Linked DNA regions of Lonchura striata. The protein of the gene in region 3 binds, or shares a complex with, the protein of the main gene of each other region. Links are inferred from orthologs where the notes say so. Each region holds a gene or a part of one and is shown on either strand. Other genes may lie near its edges. The genes, in order: GNA11, UCN and CRHR2.

Region 1 (7,150 bases), on a different chromosome or scaffold from region 3:
CACCTCTGTGGAGTGCTTTTGTTCAATCTTCTAAAATTTGCTATCATTATGCAGGATATTGATAAAAAACTCACACCTCTCTAGCACAGTGGCCCAGCTCACCTGACTAGAGAGACCAAAAACTCAAAATATATCATGTCAGTGATACAAATCCTTTTGACCTGGAGTTAAAATGTTGGCAGAGCCCTGGCTCTCTCCACAGGCACCACCAGATCCTCCTCACACCAGGGGAGAGATGGATTCAGACAGGATTTCATTCATCCCAGTACACAATTAATACTCGCATGTAGCTACTCAGTTACTCATTTTATCTTGGTAGGCTAAAAGGCAAACAAATAAAAATGCTCAGATAAAAGCAACAAGCACCTAACTAGAAGCAGAATGCTCGAAATGAACAGGAAGAACTGACAGAAATCACGTCAGCACAGCCAGAAATTAACACTGTAGACATTATCAATATGCAGCAAACTATCTCCATCTTGAACACAAAGGTGCACCCTAAGTGGGGAAAAAACTGGAAACTGAGATCTTTTGTGGTTTCTGTCAGTGTGGTGAGAAATACTTCCTTGTCTTTTACCACAGTGACCAAAACTGAGAAAAAAAAAAAAAAAAAAGGCGGTGCTTCAAAGCATTTCAACAATGAAAATGTAAGAGAAACCTCAGCACCAGACCTTGGCTTGCTTCAGGATTTAAGAGTTCAAACACAGATTCTTCCTATCACTCCATCATCACTGCCCTTTTTTGGTTTGAGGGTTGGTTTTGGTTATTGGTGGTGGGTTCTTGGTTTGGTTTTGGGATTTTCTAAGTTGTCTTTTGCTTTCCCTGAGGCACAGTACTACACCAGCAGGTTACGAGCTCTGGTGGGCAAGATCTACAACTCTCAGGGCGCAAAATCCTTTTTTAATATGATAGGAGATAATCTGAATTCACCACTTCATCTGCCAACTCGTGAAAGCAGCGGAGTTTACAATAACTTCCTAATGATCCCCTAGTAAATACACTGCTCAGTCAACAGTAACCCATGCTTAATCACAAGTAATTTTGTACAAAATATCCTCCCCATCCAGTAAAAAGACAAATTACTACCTTGTACCAGATGGCAATGTCCAACACCTTGAATTTCTTATTAACAGGTTCATCATTGATTAGCACTGTTATTCCTCACCTCAATTTTCTGGTTAAGGCTTCAACAAAGTAACTGTCACCAGATGTAGTGACAGGAAAAATTTAACCGTTTCTACAAGGTGGAAACTCCCTCCTCACACTCAAAATTTTGGAGATTTTGGGAAAGCCCTCTCACTAAGTCAATCATTAATACTTGTGAATATAAGAACTCCATAGAACAGGAGCAACACGGAAGAAATCCCTGCAAGCAGGGAGAGAGAACACAGGTCACCTGTGCCAGCTGAAGGTGGGCAACGTGCTGTGTCCAGTGACAAGCATCCTGCAAAAATTGTCTACACCTAGGAGTGTTGCTTATCCAACAATAACCACCTTCTATATGCTTTTTTTTAGTCTAATGCTGAATCTGTATCTTTTAGAAAAGCAGAAAGGATTCTTGAGCAATTTGAATTATTTCTAAAGTGAAATATTTAGATCCAGTGGGATCTTCTTAACCCAGATCTATCCTATAGCGACAACCTATTTTGACACAGCTGCTTCTGTGGGACTGCTTTTAGGGAAGCATGAGAGTGAGGGACACCTTCCCTCCTCTCCAGGAAGCCTCACAGAAACTGCCACAGCATCTCCAAAGAGCAGAAATGTGAAGCCCTCGATTTTAGCTTTCACACAAAGAACAGCAATCCATTAATTGTGAAGGATTCAGGGTGAGAAGGAAAGCCCTGGGGTTTACTTGGCACCAGTGGGGGTACTGGAGCCTCCAAGGGGCTGGGCACACACAGCCTCTCCCCACTTCTGCAAATAGTTTGTTATTTTTTAAACAAGGGTTAGCCTCCTTCTTCATCTGGACCTTAATGACTTGTCAACAGATCCATCAGGATTTCATCTCAAGATAATACAGTATTCAAGACACAAAGCAGGATCTATCTGACACACAAGCGGTGCTAAATCACAGCATGCATGAAAACCGAAACTGAAGTTTAAATTTGGGGGCTATCTAGGGAAGAACATCAAACTCACTGCTGAAGGAGGAGGCACATGCCTGCGAGTCTCAGTTTGCAGCCGATTTCCCATCCCTGTAAACTCATCTGAACACGGCACAGTTACCCATCAGCACAGGGAACACTCCTGTTCCCACCCGGAGACCTAGATTCCTGGGCTGCACAGGTGATCTGCACCTCTGAACAGCGCGGGCATCTCCTCAGCCAGCGCACAACTCCGCATTCCACTGCCTCGTCCCCCTCCAGAGCCAGCACGCCGCGCTCCCAGCCCCGCTGCCTCTCCAGCTCCTGCCCCAGGGGAAACTCCGTGCTTCAGGAGCTGCAGGCCCGTTTTTCCACACACGTCCACCGACAATCCTGAAAAGCACCAACTCCACCAGCGGATTGCCACACGCTAACCCAGGCCAGCACACTCCCCGAGAATCGTTTCCTCCACACAAATTTCACGCGCCCCCGTGCGTGCCCGCCTTCCCCACCAGGAATTTCAGCCACTTAGTTCCTGGTTGTGTCAAAACCCATTTTGACAGCGAACGCATCACAAAATCAAACAAAGGGCAGCCAATGAGGCGGCCGCCCCGCACGGCTCGGGAGCGGCCGCGAGCGCCGGGCTCAGGCGGGGATGGCTCCCGCCGCTTCCCCGCCACACCCGCTCCCCGCCCGGCCCGGCCGCCGGACCCGCGGAGCGCCGGGCCGGGCCCCGCGGCCGGAGCGGCGGCGCGCTCCTCACCCAGCAGCAGCAGCTTCAGCTCGCGGCGCGCGTCGCGCTTGTCCCTCCGCAGCTGCTTCTCGATCTCGGCGTTGATGCGCTTCGACTCCTTCACCTCGTCGCTCAGGCAACAGGCCATCATGGACTCCAGAGTCATGGTCGCGTCGCGGCCGGGACGCCCCCGCCCACCCCCCCACCCCCCCGGCACCGACCACCGTTCTCCGCACGGCCGGGAGCCCGGCCCGGCCCGGTCCCGCGTCCCGCGCCCCCTTCCCTCCCCACCCTCCCGCCCTGCGCGGCGCCGGCCCGGCCCGGCCTCGCCCCGGCCCCGAGTGCTGCGGCCGGGCCCAGCGCCAGCGCCGCCGCCGCCGCCCCCGCGCCGCTCTCGCCCGGCTGCGCCGCCGCTCCCTCCGCACGGCTCCGCCGAGACACCGACGAGCCGGCGCAACCCAACCCGCTGCCGCCGAAAACAAGCGCGGACTGACGGCGGCGGCGGCCAATGGGAGAGCGCGGCGCGCAGCGGGGCGGGCCCGGACGGGCGGGACGCGGCGCCGCGGCCAATGGGAGCGCAGGGTTTGGCTGGCCGGGCGCGGGGGGGGGGGAGGGCGCACGGACGCGCGTTCCTGGAGCGGGGCGGGGCCGCCGAGCATTGTGGGAAGGTGGCGGACCGGGCGCCCATGGCGGGCCGGGCCCGGGCCCTGCCCCTGCCGTGACCGGGCGCGGGGCCGCCGCCTCCCCTCGCCCTCTGCCGGCCCGCGGTTGGGCCGCGCCGGGCGGGGAGGGCCCTGGCGGCCGCTGGGATGGCGGCACAGGGCGGGCCCGGGCCGCGGAGGTTGCGGCTCGTCCCGCACCGCTCGCAGCCCCGGCGGGAGCCCGGAGCGGGCCGGGCCCGACCTGTGTGGGACGGGCGCGGCTCTGCTCGCAGGCCCCGCCAGCCCGGCCCTCGGGCCGAGCAGGGGCAGGCTGAGGCCTCGCCGGGCCGGCCCTGTGCTCCAGGCTGCGGCCGTGTCCCAGCACAGCCACCCGAGCTGGGGCTGCCGCCTCCCAGCCCTCCCGAGCTCCCCATCGCTCCTCACAGGGCGGCTCAGAGCTGCCTTTATCCCAGCTTCCCTCACTGCTTCCTACCAGGTGCCTGCTGACCTGGGACAGGTCCTCCAGCCAGCAGCCCGATGCCTCCATCCCCTCACGCCACACCTTGGGCTCCTTCTTGTGCTGCCAGTGCAGCCTCATCTGTCAGAGCATCCATCCCCTCATGCCGCCCCTTGTGCTGCCAGTGCAGCCTCATCTGTCAGAGCAGCCCCCCTGTGCCCTGTGGGACCCTGCCCCAAGCAGAATCCCTGCCACCTGGACTCTCCACACACACACACACACACCCCTCTTACATGCACCTGTGGTTGCATCTCTTACCCTGCCTTGCCTGGGGTCTGTATCTAAACAGTCTTTTTGAAGGTCCAAAAAAAAAGCACCATGAAGCCGTTCCTTACCTGCCTTCCTGGCTCTTGCAGTGGTCTGCCAGTCCTTATCTCTTGGCAATTTGACTGAGGCAGAAACACAAGATACTCACAAACAGGTTCTATTTTCCACTTAACTTCTCCCCTATACCTGTGCTATTCCCATGAGTTATTTGCCTCAATTAAAATAAGTTTCTAACTTCTTTTTTTTCATAGTTTGGCCTTTAACAGCATCAATGCTGACCTCCCTCTGTTACATTCTCTTACTTTCCCTCCCAGGTACCCCACAGCCAGGAGGACTCATCACACACCTCTGGCAAAGGCCATGTGGTCATTTTGCTTTGGCAGCTGAAAATTATTCAGCAACCAGAAGTGCTCAGCACAACCAAAACCCAAGCCACAGTGGCTGTTCCCACTGTGACCTGTTGCCCTTTGGAACTCCTGGACAGTCCTTAAGGAGACTGAAGTTCCTACAAAACCCTGCAGCACTGCCCTGACTGGGCAAGCCACCTGAGCCCTCTGCATGTCCTCAGGCTGTGAGGGTGACACAGGTGACACTCTGGGGCTGCTAAAGAGTTCCCAGGTTGGGATTGCTGGGCTGCTCTGGACCACGAGGTGCTGTGTGTTGGAAGCTATTGTTTTGGTTGCCATCTCTTGGGCAGGATCAAAATCTAAAGGCCAGCAGATCCTGAAGAAATTTCCACAGCTTTCCAAAAGAAAAGGAACAATAAAATTTGCATCTCAGCTCTGGACCACTTCCTTGGTTCCTGCTGATGGGAAGTTTGGGTCCACAGACATTGAGTTTTGATGAGTCCTGATCAAAGTGTGATTTAAGAATGACAGAACTGCCATTCTCCAAGCAACAAGAGCCCATCCACTCCCTCTCTTTCTGCCCTAATGGAAAAGTTTTGGTGCTCAGAGGGCTCCCAGGAGACCTGGAATTTCCCTCAGCTCTGCCACCAGTGTGCTGTGCAATTCCCCAGGCTCCATGTCCTTGCTCCTGCAGAAAGCTGATCCTGAACGTGTCAGGCCACTTCCAGAGCAACTGCTCCCATGGCCCACATTTGCAGCAGCTCCTGCTGAGCCCAGGGATCAGCCCCATTTGTTTACAGAGGGGAAGAGCCCATGGAAATGGGATCCTGAAGCCCCTGGAGATGCAGACACATAGTGTGGGCAGCACTGCAGACATTGCACAGTGACATCTCTTTTCTCCATTCTGGCCCCATTTCTTAGCTGTTTGTGAGTTCCAGAGGGGAGCAGGCACTGCCAGCAGGTCAGGGAGGTGATCCTGGCCAGGCTGAGGGAGCTGGGTGTGCTCAGCCTGGAGAAGACCAAGAGGGGATTTTTCCAATATCCATAAATACCTGAAGGGAACTGCCAGGGGATGGAGCAGTTTCTGCTCAGCTGCTGAGCAACAGGACAATGAGCAGAAACTGATGCACAGCAAGTTCCACCTTGAACATGAGGAAGAACTTTCCTGTGCTGCTGACACAGCACAGGTTGCCCAGAGTGGTTGCAGAGCCTCCTTCTCTTGTGATATTCAAAGGAAGAATTTGTCTGGACTCTCTCTGGGTGCTGATGGGGACCAGGGACCCAGCTGCAGAGCACGTGTCAAATGTTTCATCCTCCCCCAAAATTAATTTTACAAGTTCTTCAATTGCCTGTCACAGGAAGATGCCACAAGATTTGAGTTCTCTGAACAGAGAGGAGGAAAGGCACTGAGATCAAACAAAGCTGACAAATGCAGCCCGTGACAGCAATTGCTGGATTAGTTTTTTTAAACCTTATGTTTCACATCTGGTTTGTCATGGTGTTGTAGGTGGGTTCAGTGCACAGTAAACTAGGATAACAAACCTACATTTTCTGTGATCCTTTCATCCCCTACGATCCCAAAACACATCATTTAATTGCACTCAACCTGCACACAGATTTCATAAATAGAGGAATGATGAATTAGCATAGCTGCTGCAGCATTCACACAAGTTACTAAGACACAATCTCCTTGTGCAATCAATCCAGCCTCATGCTTCAGTGTTTGTCATAAATTGAGGTCAGGAAGAAATGTTCTCCCTACCTGGAGGAGTGCTGCTGAACTAGCCGAGTACAGAAAGTCTCTTAAGGGTGTAGTAATCTCTCTTCCCTGTGCAAATCTCAGAAACTGCTGCAAATGTGCATTTGGTGCACAGGAGCAGGAGGAATCTGCCTCACAGGAGCCTGGGTGATCCTTTTGACCCTAAAATCGGTATCTGGCTCCTCCCTTCGTCCAGCAAGGGAGGCAGAGGAGAGAGGGGAGAGTGCTGAGCCCTGGCCATGCCCACAGCACACCTGGGTGCTCACGAAGCTGCTCCTTTGGCCATTCCAGCCCCTGTGGGTCACTCCCTTCAGCTCAGTCTGGGATTCACACTGCTGCTTCTGCAAACTGATTGTGCTGGGAGGCTTCTCATGACCAAAGGGTCAGTGGATTCCCCTGGACCTCCTGACTGTCTCACAGCTCCAAATTTCCTGCTTATCTCCCACCAAATGCCTCAGGGACACCACCCAGGGAGCAAGCAGCTTCAGGCATCCTTGCCATGTGCTTCCTAATCACGGCTCAGCTGCAAAATCCCTTTCCTGCTTCCTGCAAGGAGTGTGAACTGCTCCTTGCACTTTGGCTGGTAAAAAGGATGATAATTACCCCTAATCAGTCTGCAGCAAAAACACAGGCCACAGCAGAAGGGAGGGGTGGGGGGCAGTCACCACGAGGGATGGAGCCCAATTATTCCAAGTCACTGATAAAACGGGATCAAAGAGGGTAGGAATGTTTTACCAGCTGGAAAAAGCCTGCCTGGACCAAGGCTGCTCTTGGAGAAAGGTCCTTTCTGCCTACAGGCCAT
Region 2 (5,310 bases), on a different chromosome or scaffold from region 3:
CCTTGTTCCAGAGCTGGGGGGTTCGTGCTGCTGGCCCAGCTGCTCCTACCCAGCCCTGACCCAGCTCATGCTGTCTCCCACTTCTGAGCCCTTAGTCCCTTTCCAGTGAGCCCTTTCCCTATTCCCAGTGAGTCTGTTTGTCCCTTCCTGGTAAACCCATTCCACCACTCCCAATGAGTTGTTTCCCCATCCCTGGTGAGCCCCCTCTTCATTCCTCATAAACCCATTCCCCATTCCTGATGAGCCCATTACCTTGCTCCCACTGAGCCTCTTTCCCTGTTCCCACTGAGCCTCTTTCCCCATTCCCCATTTCCAGTGAGCACATTCCCAGTTTGCCCAGTCCCTGGTCCTGCACAGCCCCAGCTGCCCCCACCCCTCACTCGCTCACGCCTCGGGTTTCCACCACGTTTTATTACAAAATCGGTGCGGACCGGTGCCGGGCCGGTTCCGCTCCCGCTCGCCGCAGCGCTGGGGCTGAGGCGGGCTCAGCCCGTGCCGGTGTTGGTGCCGAGCGCCGCACAGTGCAGGGGCCAGGGTGGCTGGAGGCCGGTGCAGCCCGGGGTCATGGGGGGTTCGGGGTGTCCGGGGATGCCGGGGTCTGGGGTTCAGCGCCCCACGGCGTCGAGGATGCGGCGATTGGAATCGGCGCGGGCGCGCTGGCTCTGGGCGCGGGCGAGCAGCAAGAGGTGCCGCAGGAGGTGGAACGTGAGGTCGATGGAGAGCGGCGGCTCGTCCCGCCGCCCTCGCCACGGCCCCGGGGGCGGCGGCGCCAGCGGCGGCCAGAGCGGCTGGTCCTGAGCCCCGGTCCCGGCCGCCGGGATGGAGCCGTCGGTGGTGGCGGGGCGGGCGGCGGCGGGCGGCGGGCGGGCGAGCAGCAGCAGGAGGGTGAGCAGTGCCCGCCGCATCCTCGCTCCTTCTGCACCTACGGGGCAGGGGCTTAGCGCCGCAGCAGAGACTGGGGCGGCGGCGGAGGCCCGACGGGAACCGCGGCCCCGGCGGCGCGGGGACGGTCCCGGGCGCGGAGCCCCCTCCCGCCCCGTTCCGCCCCCTCTGCGCGCCCCGGCCCCGGTGCCGTCCCTGCCCGGTCCCCAAGCCCCGTCCCGTACCCGGTGCGCTGTGCCCGTGCCCTGTTCCTGCCGGTGCTGGCGGCGCGGCGAGCGATCCGTCCCGCGGGAGCTGAGCCGGCGGCGCGGCCGGGGGTTATATCGGCCCGGGAGCCCGGGCTGACGTCAGCGCCGGGCACGCACCGGGCGGCGGGGGCGGGGGAGAGGGGGCACCGGAGCGGCGGGGAGCGGGCACCCGGCGGCGGGACGGGCTTGAGGGACGGAGGGGCGGAGAGGCAGAGCCCGCTCTCGCCGGTTTCGGGAGCCACCTCTCCGATTCTTTTCTGACGCCCACCAGAGAGGCACGGCGGGGCCGGGGCCGGTGAGAGCAGGTGCCTTGGGCCGTGCTAACCCTCGCTTCCCCTGTCCCCCGGTTTCCCGGTCGCCCCGTTCCCTCTCCCGGCTCTGCCGCATCTCCGGCCTCATTCTCCGCCGCTGTCCGCGGTGCTGAACGGCCGGGACGCGCTGGGGCACCGGGGCCGGTGGGCTGTACAGGTGAGCTCCCGGTGAGCCCTCAGTGAGCTGTACGGGGCTAGCCGCGGCTTCTCGGCGTGGAGCCCTTGCGTTCCCGGGCGGAACGGCCGCGTCGAGCAGCGGCGTCCAAGCAGCGATCGGGGCGGGAGGGACTCCTGGGCGGAGGTGGGGATACCCCAAGCACCGGCAGCTCCGGGACGGGGCGGTCACGGGTGGGACCCCCAGCCTGGCCGTGGCTCAGCGTCCCGGGCGGAGCGGGCGGTGCCGAGGTCGAACCGCGGGGCCGAGGCCGCAGACGCCCCGAGCGCAGCGGCGGCATCGGCCAAGTCCTGTGAGTCATAGAATGAAGGCACCGGAGCTGGCAGCGCCGTGCTGGATTCAGGGTGTTCCGTCGGGGCACCGGCACCGCTGCCAAATGGTGAGGTGGCTGCTGGGGCTCCACACTACTGCCGGCATCCCCCCGAGCGCTCCCCACCGCTGCCGGCAGCCCCCGAGCGTCCTGCGGCTGCCGGCCGAGCGTAGCCGAGCTGACACCCAGCGCCGACGCTGCTACAGGGGCAGAGCAGCGGGGCAGTGCCGGTGCGGGGCACAGCCGGGCACAGGGGCTCAGCCCGGCCCCTCGCACGGTGTGTCCCACCCCGGGTGGCACAGGGGCGGCGGGGCACGGCCCTGCCCGCAGCGAGCAGCACACGGTGTCGTGCCCCCATGACGTGATCCGGCATGAAGGCTGGCACCGGGCACCGCCTCCTGCAGCGGCAGGGCAGAGCCCTCAGCAGGGGCTGGGCTCAGCCCCCCGAGCCCTGGCAGCCCCATGCTGGGGCGGCTGCTCCTGGGGACAAGTGGCTCATTCCACGTGGCTCTTGCCATGCTCGCAGCTCTCATTGCTGACAGAGAGAGCCTCCAGCACCCCCAGAGGGAGCTGCAAGAGGCTCAACACCTCAGAGCTGCAAATTCCTGCCACCCACAGCACCCACCCCACTGGCTGTAGAGGACTTGAGCCCCACACAGAACCCCCCAAGTACTGGTGCCATCCGTGCATGGCCCCATCACCTGGCCCCAGCCCTGTGCTGCCCCATTGAGCACTGCTGGGGGAAAGGGGGCTGCAGCTGCAGCCCCTCCAGTCCCCTGCCTCACCCCTCAGCACTGTGCAGGATTTGCCTCCTCTGTATTCCAGGTTGTATCCACCCGGCCGGAGCAGCCCCAAAGCTGGGGCCAGCACAGAACCAGACCATGGGGAGGATGAGGGTGGAGGACAGACGGTAGCACCCTCCATGAAGGCCATGCTGGCAGGGCCCCGCTGGCTCTGTCCAGCTGTGTGGGGCTGCAGGAGCACAGGTGAGGGGGCCAGGGCCCAGGGCTCCACAGAAATGGGAGGAACCCCCACGGTGCCACCAGCTCCACTTGGAGCCCCTGGTTGGGATGTGCTGGGCAGGAACACTGTGGGAGCTGGACGCTGTGAGTGTGCGACACTGTGTGCTCGCTGCCACTGCAGGATGAGCGTGGACACACATCCCCAGGGGCAGCAGCACAGGCAGTGGCAGCTCCACGGGGCTTCTCTCTGGCATGACAGGCAGGCTTGTCTCAGACATGGCACAGGTGGATTGTGGCCCTGGCCCAAATCCAGCTCCAGCCCTACCCCCAACCCTTTCTGGACCCTCCCCAGATGCACAGCCTTGTACCAAGCAAGCCCTGACCCTGGGGGGACTCTGCACCCAGCATCAGGACTTCGGCTCCATCGACCTCATTCCAATGCTCTGCAGCTGCGGAAGGACCATCACAGCCCATGGAACAGCTTCAGTAGCACCTGATGAACCCCTAAACCACCACCCACCCTCTGTCAGAGTCCCCTCCCCTCTCTATCCGGTGGGGCAGACCACCCCAGCCCGCAACCCCTAGCCCCATGCTCAGTGCCTTGACATGAGGTAGAGTGGACCTGTTGATCCTTAACAGGACAGTTGCCCTGGAACAGCACTTTCAGGGCCTGGGGGCATGCTGGCCACAAGCCCCAGGGCCCCAGGAATCAAAAGTGAAGACAACTGTTTATTGATGCTTTGACTGTCCACAGCAGAGCCACAGCAAACCCTGTTTTCAGGGGAAGCATCCCCAGCCTGCAGTGAGCCCAGTTCTGCGCCCACAGCACAGCCAGCCCAGGCCAGCCCTGCTCCATTTCCACTCCTCTTTTCCCTCGGGATGTGCTGTGGGGAAGGTCAGAGTGACACTCAGGACAGGAGCACCCCGTGTGCAGGGCTTGGAAATGGCTGAGCACAGAGAGAGAAGTGCACCGTGGGCAGAGTCGCTGCACAGCATGGCTGGAGCAGATCCAGGCCTGTCCTGGCACCATCTTCTCCTTGGGGCAGGAGGCCGTGGCCATAGGGGATGGTGTTCCCCTGAGAAAAGCGCAGGATGGCTGCTGCAGGACCCCGTGTATCCCAGCCTGCCCACGGCCATGCGTGCCCATGGCCAGGGCTCCGAGTTGTGCTGGTCTGGAGCGCACAGGCCGGGCACAGGCACAGGACACGGATTGTGCCTCACATCCGATTCGCTTTCCAGGACAGGTAGCAGTTCCAGACGATGGCAACACATTGGACAACAGCCAGCCTGGGGACAGAGGAACAGGGTCTGCAGCTGCCGGCTCAGGGGGCACGGACTGGGCACCAGGGCCGCAACACTACCTGTGCTGCAGAGGCACGAAGTAGAAGTTCGCAATTTGCACGGGTGGCCAGATCTGGGCAGAGAAGAGGAGGAGCGGTGAGGAGCCCTGCCAGGGTCCCTGTCCCACACCCACCCCTGCCTGGCACTCAGGGTGTCCCACAGAGCCCACGGCAGCCCCATGGAGGAAACGGACAGGGACAGGGACACAGATGTGCGAGCACTCACACAGTAATTGGTCATCAGGGCATCCATGTAGTCCTGGAAGAAAAAGGAGCTGTGAGCACTCAGGGCCCCCATCCTTGCCGCTGGTGCCCTAACTCCACACTGGAGTCCTCCACACTGCTGGGCACGGAGCCCCTGCAGCCCTGCCCATGCCTTCCCAGAGCCATGAGGGTGGCAGGGAGAGGGTGACCAGAACCATCCCCACTGAGAGCCCTTCGTGCCATAGCCAGGGCACATGGGCCCATGGCTTGGCCCCCCAGTGTGGGCTGTGAGCCCCTTTCCAGCTCAGTGCTCCCCCAGACCCCTCCTGGGCACCACATGGCAGAAACGGAGAGGGGCACTGAGCTGGGGCAGCTGCTCCAGGAGTCCAAGGTGCCGCCTTGTCCTCGTGCCACAGCCACGGCCGTGTCGCATCCCTGTCCCGTGGCAGCAGGACAAGTCCCTCCTGCAGCTTGGCCGTGACTCAGCCAGGAGGCCGGGCTCCTCCTGGCGCTGGCCAGCAGCCCAGGACGGGGTGAGCGGGCGCGGGGTGATGGATGCTCTGCTGACGCTTCCTCTGCGTGGGGAGAGGCGGATGCGCCCCAAGCCAGGGGTGAAGGTGCTGCCAGCACTGCTGCCCATCCCCAGCCCATCAGCCCCTTCCAGGCCAGGGCTCCCAGGAGCCACAGCTCACACGAATCACCAACCACGGCAGGATTCCCTGGGGAAGGCAAGGCAGATCCATGGCACGAGCTGGTCAGGATGCAGCAGGGGAAGATGGATGGGAGCACTCAGAGTGCTGCCTGTGCCCACGATCTGTTCACGCGTGCCCTTAGGGTGCCTTGGAGCACCCCATGCCCAGCTGTAGCTTGCATAGAGC
Region 3 (7,542 bases):
AGAAACAGGGAAGATAACTAATTACAAAGCTTAATGTTTACTGTTCTCCCAGCTAAATAAAGATTGTTCAATATGGCTCTCCTTGGGTTTCTTCTCTTGATTTCTTTTTCCCTTCTAAAACATATCTGCAGTGTGTCAAAGAACAGGAGCCAGAGAAAATATTCAGACACTGCAGGCTCTGTGGTCTGGTTCTCTCCATCCACGCTGCTGAATGGAGCTCACCAATGTTCCCATGTGACACATCCTTGTCATTACCAGGGTTCAAAATGAGGCTTGCAACACAGCTCACCTCATTTTGGACACTGAAATATTAGAGCAGACTTAGTTACAGAAGCTCATTATCCTTGGACCCCAATAATGAAAAAGCATTTAGTTTCTGCTCCATTTTAGGTTTTAATTTAGGATTAAATCATGCTTTGGTCTTTAGCTGTACCAGTAGAGCTCTACTGACCATGAAGAGGTGGTGATTATATTGGAGACCTCCATTTTTTTAATGAGACATTTCATAGCTGAATAGCCCAGACTGTTTGGAAATCCAGTTTTCATGGAGCACAAAAAAAATCAATCATGGGAACCACCATGTTCTTGTTGATGACCAGCCACCCTGAGAAAAGAACACTGGTCCATGCTAAGAAAAAACATTAATTTTTGTCCCTAGGGTGTCCCAAAGTTCACTTCATACTTACACCTGAGGCTCACCATGGAGCAGATTTGAGGTTTACTATATTTTACTATATTTAGGGTTTATTACATTTATAAATCCACTCTCAAAGCACAGTACAGGTTCTCAGGATTTTAAAGTATCATAGAAAGTTTGTTCTAAAAAAGCTGCAGGTTAGACCAACTATAAATATCAACTTCCATTAATTTCAGAGCATTGCTTTACCTATGATCAGTGATACCTCACAAAGATAGTGGAATAGAAGAGAGGGTTCTGAAGCTTCTCCCTTCCCTTTTCCCATTAAAATTCTGTTCCAGTAGCCACACTCCACTGGAAAATATGCCGTGTGTTCATGCATCACATAAACAGTCCAGAAAATTATATTTTGTCAACAACTGAAAAATAAATTGTTTGCTGACTTCTAAGACAGCCTGGCATGAAATTTGTGGGTTTTTTTCTAAAACAGAAGCTCTGCACAAGGAAAAACACTTCATGAATAAATGGCAAGTTTTACAACAATATTTACAAACACATTCAAAAGGCAAAGAACACCTAAAAGAAGGGTCCAAATATGGAACCTCATTTATCTTTCCTTTGTTTCCAGCTAAGGAATGGAATAGATGGTCATTAAACTGATATAAACAAATCTGCTCCCTGGAACACAGTGGCACCAAGGGGCAGAGCTTGGGGCAGATTCATAATACAGGTCAACACACCCATTTATATGCAAATTGAGAGGCAGTTAAGGCACCACAACTTTCACACTTCAGCCTGATATCCAGATCAACCTATGGTCCTGAAGGAATTAAGTCAGAATAAAACACCACTGATCCAACACATTTTACAGAAAGATTTTTAATTCCCTGAGCCTCATTTCCTTTGCTGTTTCCCAGGGATGGACGCCTGGCTGAATGATAACACTTACATTATATCTTAAGCTCTTTTCCTCCATGAATATTCACCAGGGGGAAAAAGAAAGTGAAGAGGAAGGGAAGAAATTTAGTTTTTTCCCCAGAAGCACCATTCATTGCAGCACACCCCCCCAAGTCATGCTGCAGAGGAGGGTGGCTCTGAGTGTGCTTCTCCCCCTTCTGAAAGAAAGCTGGATCCAGTTTCACATCTCTTACAGCATCATTTTTGTGCTGGCGTATTTTAGCCAAGAGACAAGTGCTTTGCCCTGCTTCTATAAACTGGTCTGGATAAATGGACAAGACACTTCAACTATACTAATTAATTCAACTATACTAATCTTCAACTACCACACCAGTCAGTAAGTACAGCTAATTCAACTGATTAAGCTCTGAGAAAGGGCTGTCAGCAGTTCCTCTGAAGCTCTCTCCAGGTGTGCAAAATTCCAAGTTCTCCTTCCTCGTCACATCACTGCACATTGTCACCAAGGAAAAGCCAAGCTGGAGACAGTATGTTTATCTCAGCAGGAGAAGATGTTCCTGGAGCAAGGGCACTTTGAAAGTGGATCCTCCAGTAACAAGAAGCCACCAAGAAACAGAGGAGTAAATACCTGTGACATTGGTGCGGGCTGACAAAGCTTCGCAGTACTTTTCCAGCAGAACAGACAAGGGCAGGTTCACAGAGGATTCACAGTGGAGAACTATCTGGATAAACAGAAAGAAACCAAGCAGGTAAAGCAGCAACCTAGAACAGATTTTCTCTTTCATGAGTACAACAAGCCCCAGCAGTCTCAGAGCAGTTCCCATTCATGATTTATTCAGGCACAGACACCCACTGATACAGAAGGTTTGTGGTTGTACTTGCTCGGCTCCAGGGCATCACATGGAATTCACCTGACTAAAGCAGGAAACTGCAAATTAAGCACCTATTCTGGATCTCTCCTTGTGGGAGCTGCTCAGTGCCTTTAACAAAGCTCAGGATCCCCTTTGTCTCATCACCTGAAAGTAGATGCCTGAAACAGCAGAGCTGAATCACATCATCACATCCCATTAAAGATTGTGTTGAGTTTTTTCAGTTAAAGATTGTGTGTTGAGTTTTTTCAGTGAACTTTTAATTGATATGTAGGTGCCAAAGATCCTTGCACATTCAAGAGATACAGCAATTGGCAAAGGGCAGTTCAGAGGGCTTGAATAAAGTGTTTCCATGGAATGTATAGGATAATTTGGCATCCCTGTAAGGTGTCTTGTGGCTCTTTTTAGCCAATGGAAGACACACAAGTTTCTGACCCTCAGCATTTAGGGCTGAGCCTTCCACTGAGGGCAAATAACAGTGAGAAAGAGCAGAAATGCCAACATGGGCACTTTGAGAAAGCTGCAGGTTCAGTACAAGGTAGCAGTACAACCCCAAGTAAAATTTAGGGAATAGAGTTGAAAATCAATGGGAATATTTAATTTTCACACTCAAAATAAAGCACCCAGTGCAGACAGAGGAGAGAAGACTACACCAAACTATAGAGCCAAGTTGGGATCCTGCTTGGAGCAAGGGAAGCTCTTGGAAAGTCCTTTAAGAAAGGTAGGACGAAATGTGACAGGAAAATTCAGGAGTGACAGATCAATGACAGAAAATCCAATTTTCAAACTATGAAACAAAATCTTTCTGACTGTTTCTGAGATGGATATAAAGCCATGGTAACACACAAAATGCCTTTGCTTTTCTGTTTACACAGAATGACTCCAACAAAATTCAGGCAGCTTTTACTCAGGGAAACAACCATACTCTAAAGGTTGATACTATATTTCAGTGCCCTAAGGTGTGTTAAGTGATTGAGGAACCCATTTTTTAGGTCACTGAATTCTCTCACTTAATAAAAAGGACGGTAAGTGCTCAGGACAATAGAATCCATCAGCAATCTCTCTAAAGAACAACTGTTCTTTGTACAGCACCTTTTTCTACCTAGTTCTCACTTTGCTGTTATTTTATAAAATAGGAAGCATTGAAGTACAAACAGAAAACCTTTCCCAGATTTCATTCTTTTCATACCAACTCCATGAAGGGGCTGTTTCTCCTCCACGTGTGAGGATGTGTGAAGAATTTTGAATTAGTTAGAGACATGACTTCTAAGTTGTTTCAGATAATGTGATTTATTTTTCTTATCTTTTACATAGGTAGGAAAGGTGAGTTCAGATCATATCTCCACCACATAACTCAAAAAGTCCCAAAACTTCTAGTTACAAGACCTTTTAAAGATTTATTAACTAACATAACAGTACTAACAAAGATATTTATATTTTTGACCTAATTCTTAAGTATTTTGTTTTATAGACTCATACCAGTGTAAGCTTTTTAAATTAATCATGTTATAACACACAAACTTAGAGTTCCATACTTTAAAACTTTAAACTTTCTTCTACTTAACATACCTCTGCTTTTAACTACATTCTCACTTGTAGCACCTAAGTTTAAAGTCTCAGATCAAATTTTGTGTTTAATCCTAAACTTTGCCTTACAGGCCCAAAGTTCTGAGAATTCCCTGCATTTCAAATTCCAGCACCCAGGGAGGCTCAGAACTCCTGCCTCCCGTGGCAGGACCTCCATGCACGGTCAGGTCAGGGAGACAAAGCCAGGTGCAGATTCCACCTCCGGAGGCTCGGAGCTCCCAAACCTCAGACTCTGCAGTGGCCACGTCTCCTGCCAGATCCAGGCATGTTGACACAGCAGAGGCATTTCTTCCCTTCCACCCCTCACCCCTCTGCCACCTCCCAGGCCAAAGCACTGCCTCACTTCAAAGAAGAAACTCAAGCCATCCCCGTGCACTGTAAATACGCCGCGTGTTCAGCTGTGCCCTCCCCAGGACGATGGGAAAGCACAGACAGAGGTCAAGCTCAGCACAGCTTGGGCAGGAGTAGGAAAGGTTAAATGTCACATTTGCCTTAGGGTTCAGCTCAGGTTAATTTGGCTGGGGGGAAAAGTGCTTTCCACATATTATGTTACTTTTGGTTTCATTTTCTCTCCACAGTCAACAGCCTTGCTGTGCGTGAAACTTTTTTCTTTTAAAAATTGTATTTAAAGCAGATAAACCCAAATTATGACTCAGGTTTATATTTTTATATTTTTCAGATTCTGTTCTGCTTCAGTGTGCAGTTCTGAGCTTCGTACCAGGGGATGCTGAGCTCTGTGCACAGAGCAGGGACACAAAACAATTCCTGCTCCAGCTGGGCACCAAGGACAAATGATCCAAACCTCAGCCCAGGAGCACAAACACCGTGGGCTGGAGAGAGAAAAACAAGCAGGGTGGGACTGCCTGGGCTGGAGCTGGAATGGGACAATGAACTCCAAGGTGCCAATGGAGCAGAACTGATCCTAGGGAGAGCCCCGGGAGCGCTCGTGCATTTTGGGACCATTTTGGGTCATTTGGGTGCAGCCCTGGCTGGGCTCTGGTGCTGCCCAAGGTGGATCCATGGAGGAGATCCTTTGAATAAATCCCTGCTTTATTCTTTAGCTCTGTCCAGCCTCTGTTCTTAGGGCAGCCTTGAAAAACTCCTCTTACAATAATAAAAAAATGGAAAAACAAAGAAAGAACAAGAAAAAATTCAGTAATATAGAATTGTAAAGATAAATAATTGGGCCCATGACTGTGCAGAAATTATATTTTGAAGTACTGAAATAATCGCTTTGGGTCACTAATGCGTGACTTTTCTCAAACTGCATTTCTCTTGAAACAGCTATTCCATCACCTCTGTCCACCAAATCACTTCTTTTCTGTCCTGAAAATTTACCTAAATCATGCACAGAAATGTCCAACTTAATTCCTCAGAGCCGCTGTGGACATTTATGAACAAATAAAACTAATGTGCTGCGCCAAAGACTGAGGTGGAAATTAATCCTTTACTTTCCAAAGCAGGGACACCAACTAAGAGCAGGCCAGCTCTGAGTCTTCAGAAAAAAAAAAAATACAGAGCCTTTGGTTGACTTCCCGTTCACATCTGAGAGGATTTTGGGAAAAAGATGAGTTACTCTGGTGTGGCACTCTCTGCCTCTCTCATGGGCATTTTGTTGGATCTTTCCCCTTGGACATGGTCACTGCTCTTCATTAATTCATGAAAGATCTTTATCTCTGTCAGAGGACATCAACTACGAGACACAAGAGTTGCCTATTCTCAGTTTCCACCAGCATTTGTGGTTATTCCATCCAGGTAAGAGAGGATTTGTAACTTCATTTAAAGAAGAATTAACAAAGAGTCCTGGCTCGAAATACAGAGTTCCTCTGTGAAGCAATATAGAAATATAAAACCAAATTAACATCAGTGCTTTAAAATTCATGGAAGAGGTTGTTTTCTCTTCTGAAACATGGAAGAAATGGCTACAGGAATATAAAGGAATGACTTCAGAATAAAAACCAGCCCCCAAATCTATGGATAGGATCCAAAAATGTCAACACAAGCATGGGGCTACCACAGAGACACAATGGAGCATCTGGTAATTTTAAATATCTCACAGTAGGCAGCAGCAGAGGGAAGTTAGCAGGAATGCAAGCTGAAGGGAAGGACTGAAGAGGAAAAGGATGACCCATGACAGTGGAACACCCTTGCCAAGGCGGAGGTGAGTTTGGAGGCAGTGGATGGACAGATGCACACACTCCCCTTTCCCACCCTCACACAAGAATTCCCAGATGCCACATGGCTCTAATAAAAGCCAGTTGTTAGGCCTCCCTGTCAAACATCTGCTGGTGGCATGCTGAGAGGTGCTGACATCTGACACAGCCTCAAAGCAATAGAGCAAAAACTGTTTGTTAAAAAAATGTAGTTTCTAGTACTCCCGAGGCCCCAGAGAAATCCATCCCATGGAAGGACAAGAGCATCTCAGCAGAAAGCCACTCCCAGAAAAGCAGTGGGATTTAGACTTCAAAACAGAGAGAGCAGCAGCTGAGCTGGTCACACAGGGATTCTTTTGGAATTCAGGAAGAGAAGCAGGAATTTTCCAGATGCAGTTCATCTGCGGTATTTTAAATCTTTAAATTGGAATGACCTCCACTGACTGCATCAGCTGGGTCTTATGTACTGTAGGACAGAGTCACTTAGATGCATCCTTCCTAAATTTTCTTTAGACTACATGCAAAAGGAGAGATCAAAACATTCCTAGAGATGATGGCTGCAGGAAGACACGAGCACATGACAATTTTATTTAATCATCTGTGCTCTTTCTTTTACTGAGCAAGATGAATTGACCTTCCAACATGGAAAAATGTTGGAGTTATCAACACAAAATGTGCTCAGTCCACAGCTGACAAGAAGAGGGTCCATCTCACATCTTCTTTGCCACACAAAATCTCACCCTGCACTGTTCACTGTGCTCTCTATAAAGACAAAGCATTTTCCACTCCTGAGAAACCACCTGGCGTGGATTATGTCAGGAGGATGCTTCTTCCTACCCTTCATCTCTGGGAACCTCCACTGCTCTCAAGACTCCAGCTTTTCCCATGTATTTCTTTAAAATATCCGAGGCTGCAAATGCTACCTTGTTTCAACATCAAAATTGCAGCAAAACTGTCTTTAGCACACAGAAAAGCTGCTGCTTAGTAGCTTTGCCCCAGAACTCAGCGAAAAAAAAAGTTCGAGTGCAAGAGAAAAGGGAAAACTGCATTTAATTTTTAGTTCTTCAATTAGGCAATGCAAATAAATTCACTCCATCTCCACAATGAGACTGAGTTCTCACCCCAACTTCTGGGATGGAAATGCTCAGAGCAGTGGCCCAATTAAAAGCAAAATTCTAGTTTGTGTGCAGAGAAGCTCATCTTAGGGAAACACAGGCTTCTAACTTCACAATGAAAATGTAGTTAGTGAAAGAGCTCAACTCAGCAAAATCAAAGTGAATCCCACATTTCCTTGACAAAATCCATCCTCTGTTTGAACACAGTTTCCAGGGCAGGTGGGCATCTGGCAAGTTCTGCATCACTGGTGGGGAGAAACAGAGGC

The links.
Region 1: the proteins of CRHR2 (region 3) and GNA11 are in contact, whole or in part, in a cryo-EM structure (PDB 7TRY), measured with the Homo sapiens proteins. The link is inferred for Lonchura striata from reciprocal best matches to the Homo sapiens genes CRHR2 and GNA11. Residues at the interface, in NP_001874.2 of Homo sapiens: Arg148, Tyr208, Leu209, Ala212, Ile213, Thr216, Glu220, Lys293, Lys307, Ala311, Phe358, Tyr359, Phe362, Asn363; in NP_002058.2 of Homo sapiens: Arg37, Ile348, Leu349, Asn352, Leu353, Glu355, Tyr356, Asn357, Leu358.
Region 2: the proteins of CRHR2 (region 3) and UCN are in contact, whole or in part, in a cryo-EM structure (PDB 7TS0), measured with the Homo sapiens proteins. The link is inferred for Lonchura striata from reciprocal best matches to the Homo sapiens genes CRHR2 and UCN. Residues at the interface, in NP_001874.2 of Homo sapiens: Phe68, Asn69, Gly70, Val71, Tyr73, Ile101, Leu102, Asp103, Asp104, Arg107, Asp110, Tyr113, Leu117, Asn120, Trp166, Leu169, Gln170, Val172, Asp173, His174, His177, Glu178, Thr188, Phe191, Asn192, Phe199, Phe256, Gly257, Lys258, Asp265; in NP_003344.1 of Homo sapiens: Asn84, Pro85, Ser86, Leu87, Ser88, Ile89, Asp90, Leu91, Thr92, Phe93, His94, Leu95, Leu96, Arg97, Thr98, Leu99, Leu100, Leu102, Arg104, Thr105, Ser107, Gln108, Arg111, Ala112, Asn115, Phe119.

What each region holds. Positions count from the first base shown.
Region 1 is NC_134630.1:4,151,308-4,158,457, forward strand, and holds the start of GNA11 (guanine nucleotide-binding protein subunit alpha-11), read right to left. Parts: upstream 3,013-7,150; 5' UTR 2,984-3,012; coding exon 2,848-2,983; intron 1-2,847. UniProt on the Homo sapiens protein: Guanine nucleotide-binding proteins (G proteins) function as transducers downstream of G protein-coupled receptors (GPCRs) in numerous signaling cascades.
Region 2 is NC_134605.1:113,707,961-113,713,270, reverse strand, and holds UCN (urocortin), read right to left. Parts: upstream 906-5,310; coding exon 606-905; downstream 1-605. Other genes in the region: mitochondrial inner membrane protein Mpv17, read right to left, coding at 4,106-4,175, 4,250-4,302, 4,455-4,487. UniProt on the Homo sapiens protein: Acts in vitro to stimulate the secretion of adrenocorticotropic hormone (ACTH). Binds with high affinity to CRF receptor types 1, 2-alpha, and 2-beta. Plays a role in the establishment of normal hearing thresholds.
Region 3 is NC_134603.1:153,230,294-153,237,835, forward strand, and holds the start of CRHR2 (corticotropin-releasing factor receptor 2), read right to left. Parts: upstream 3,032-7,542; 5' UTR 2,377-3,031; coding exon 2,181-2,376; intron 1-2,180. UniProt on the Homo sapiens protein: G-protein coupled receptor for CRH (corticotropin-releasing factor), UCN (urocortin), UCN2 and UCN3. Has high affinity for UCN.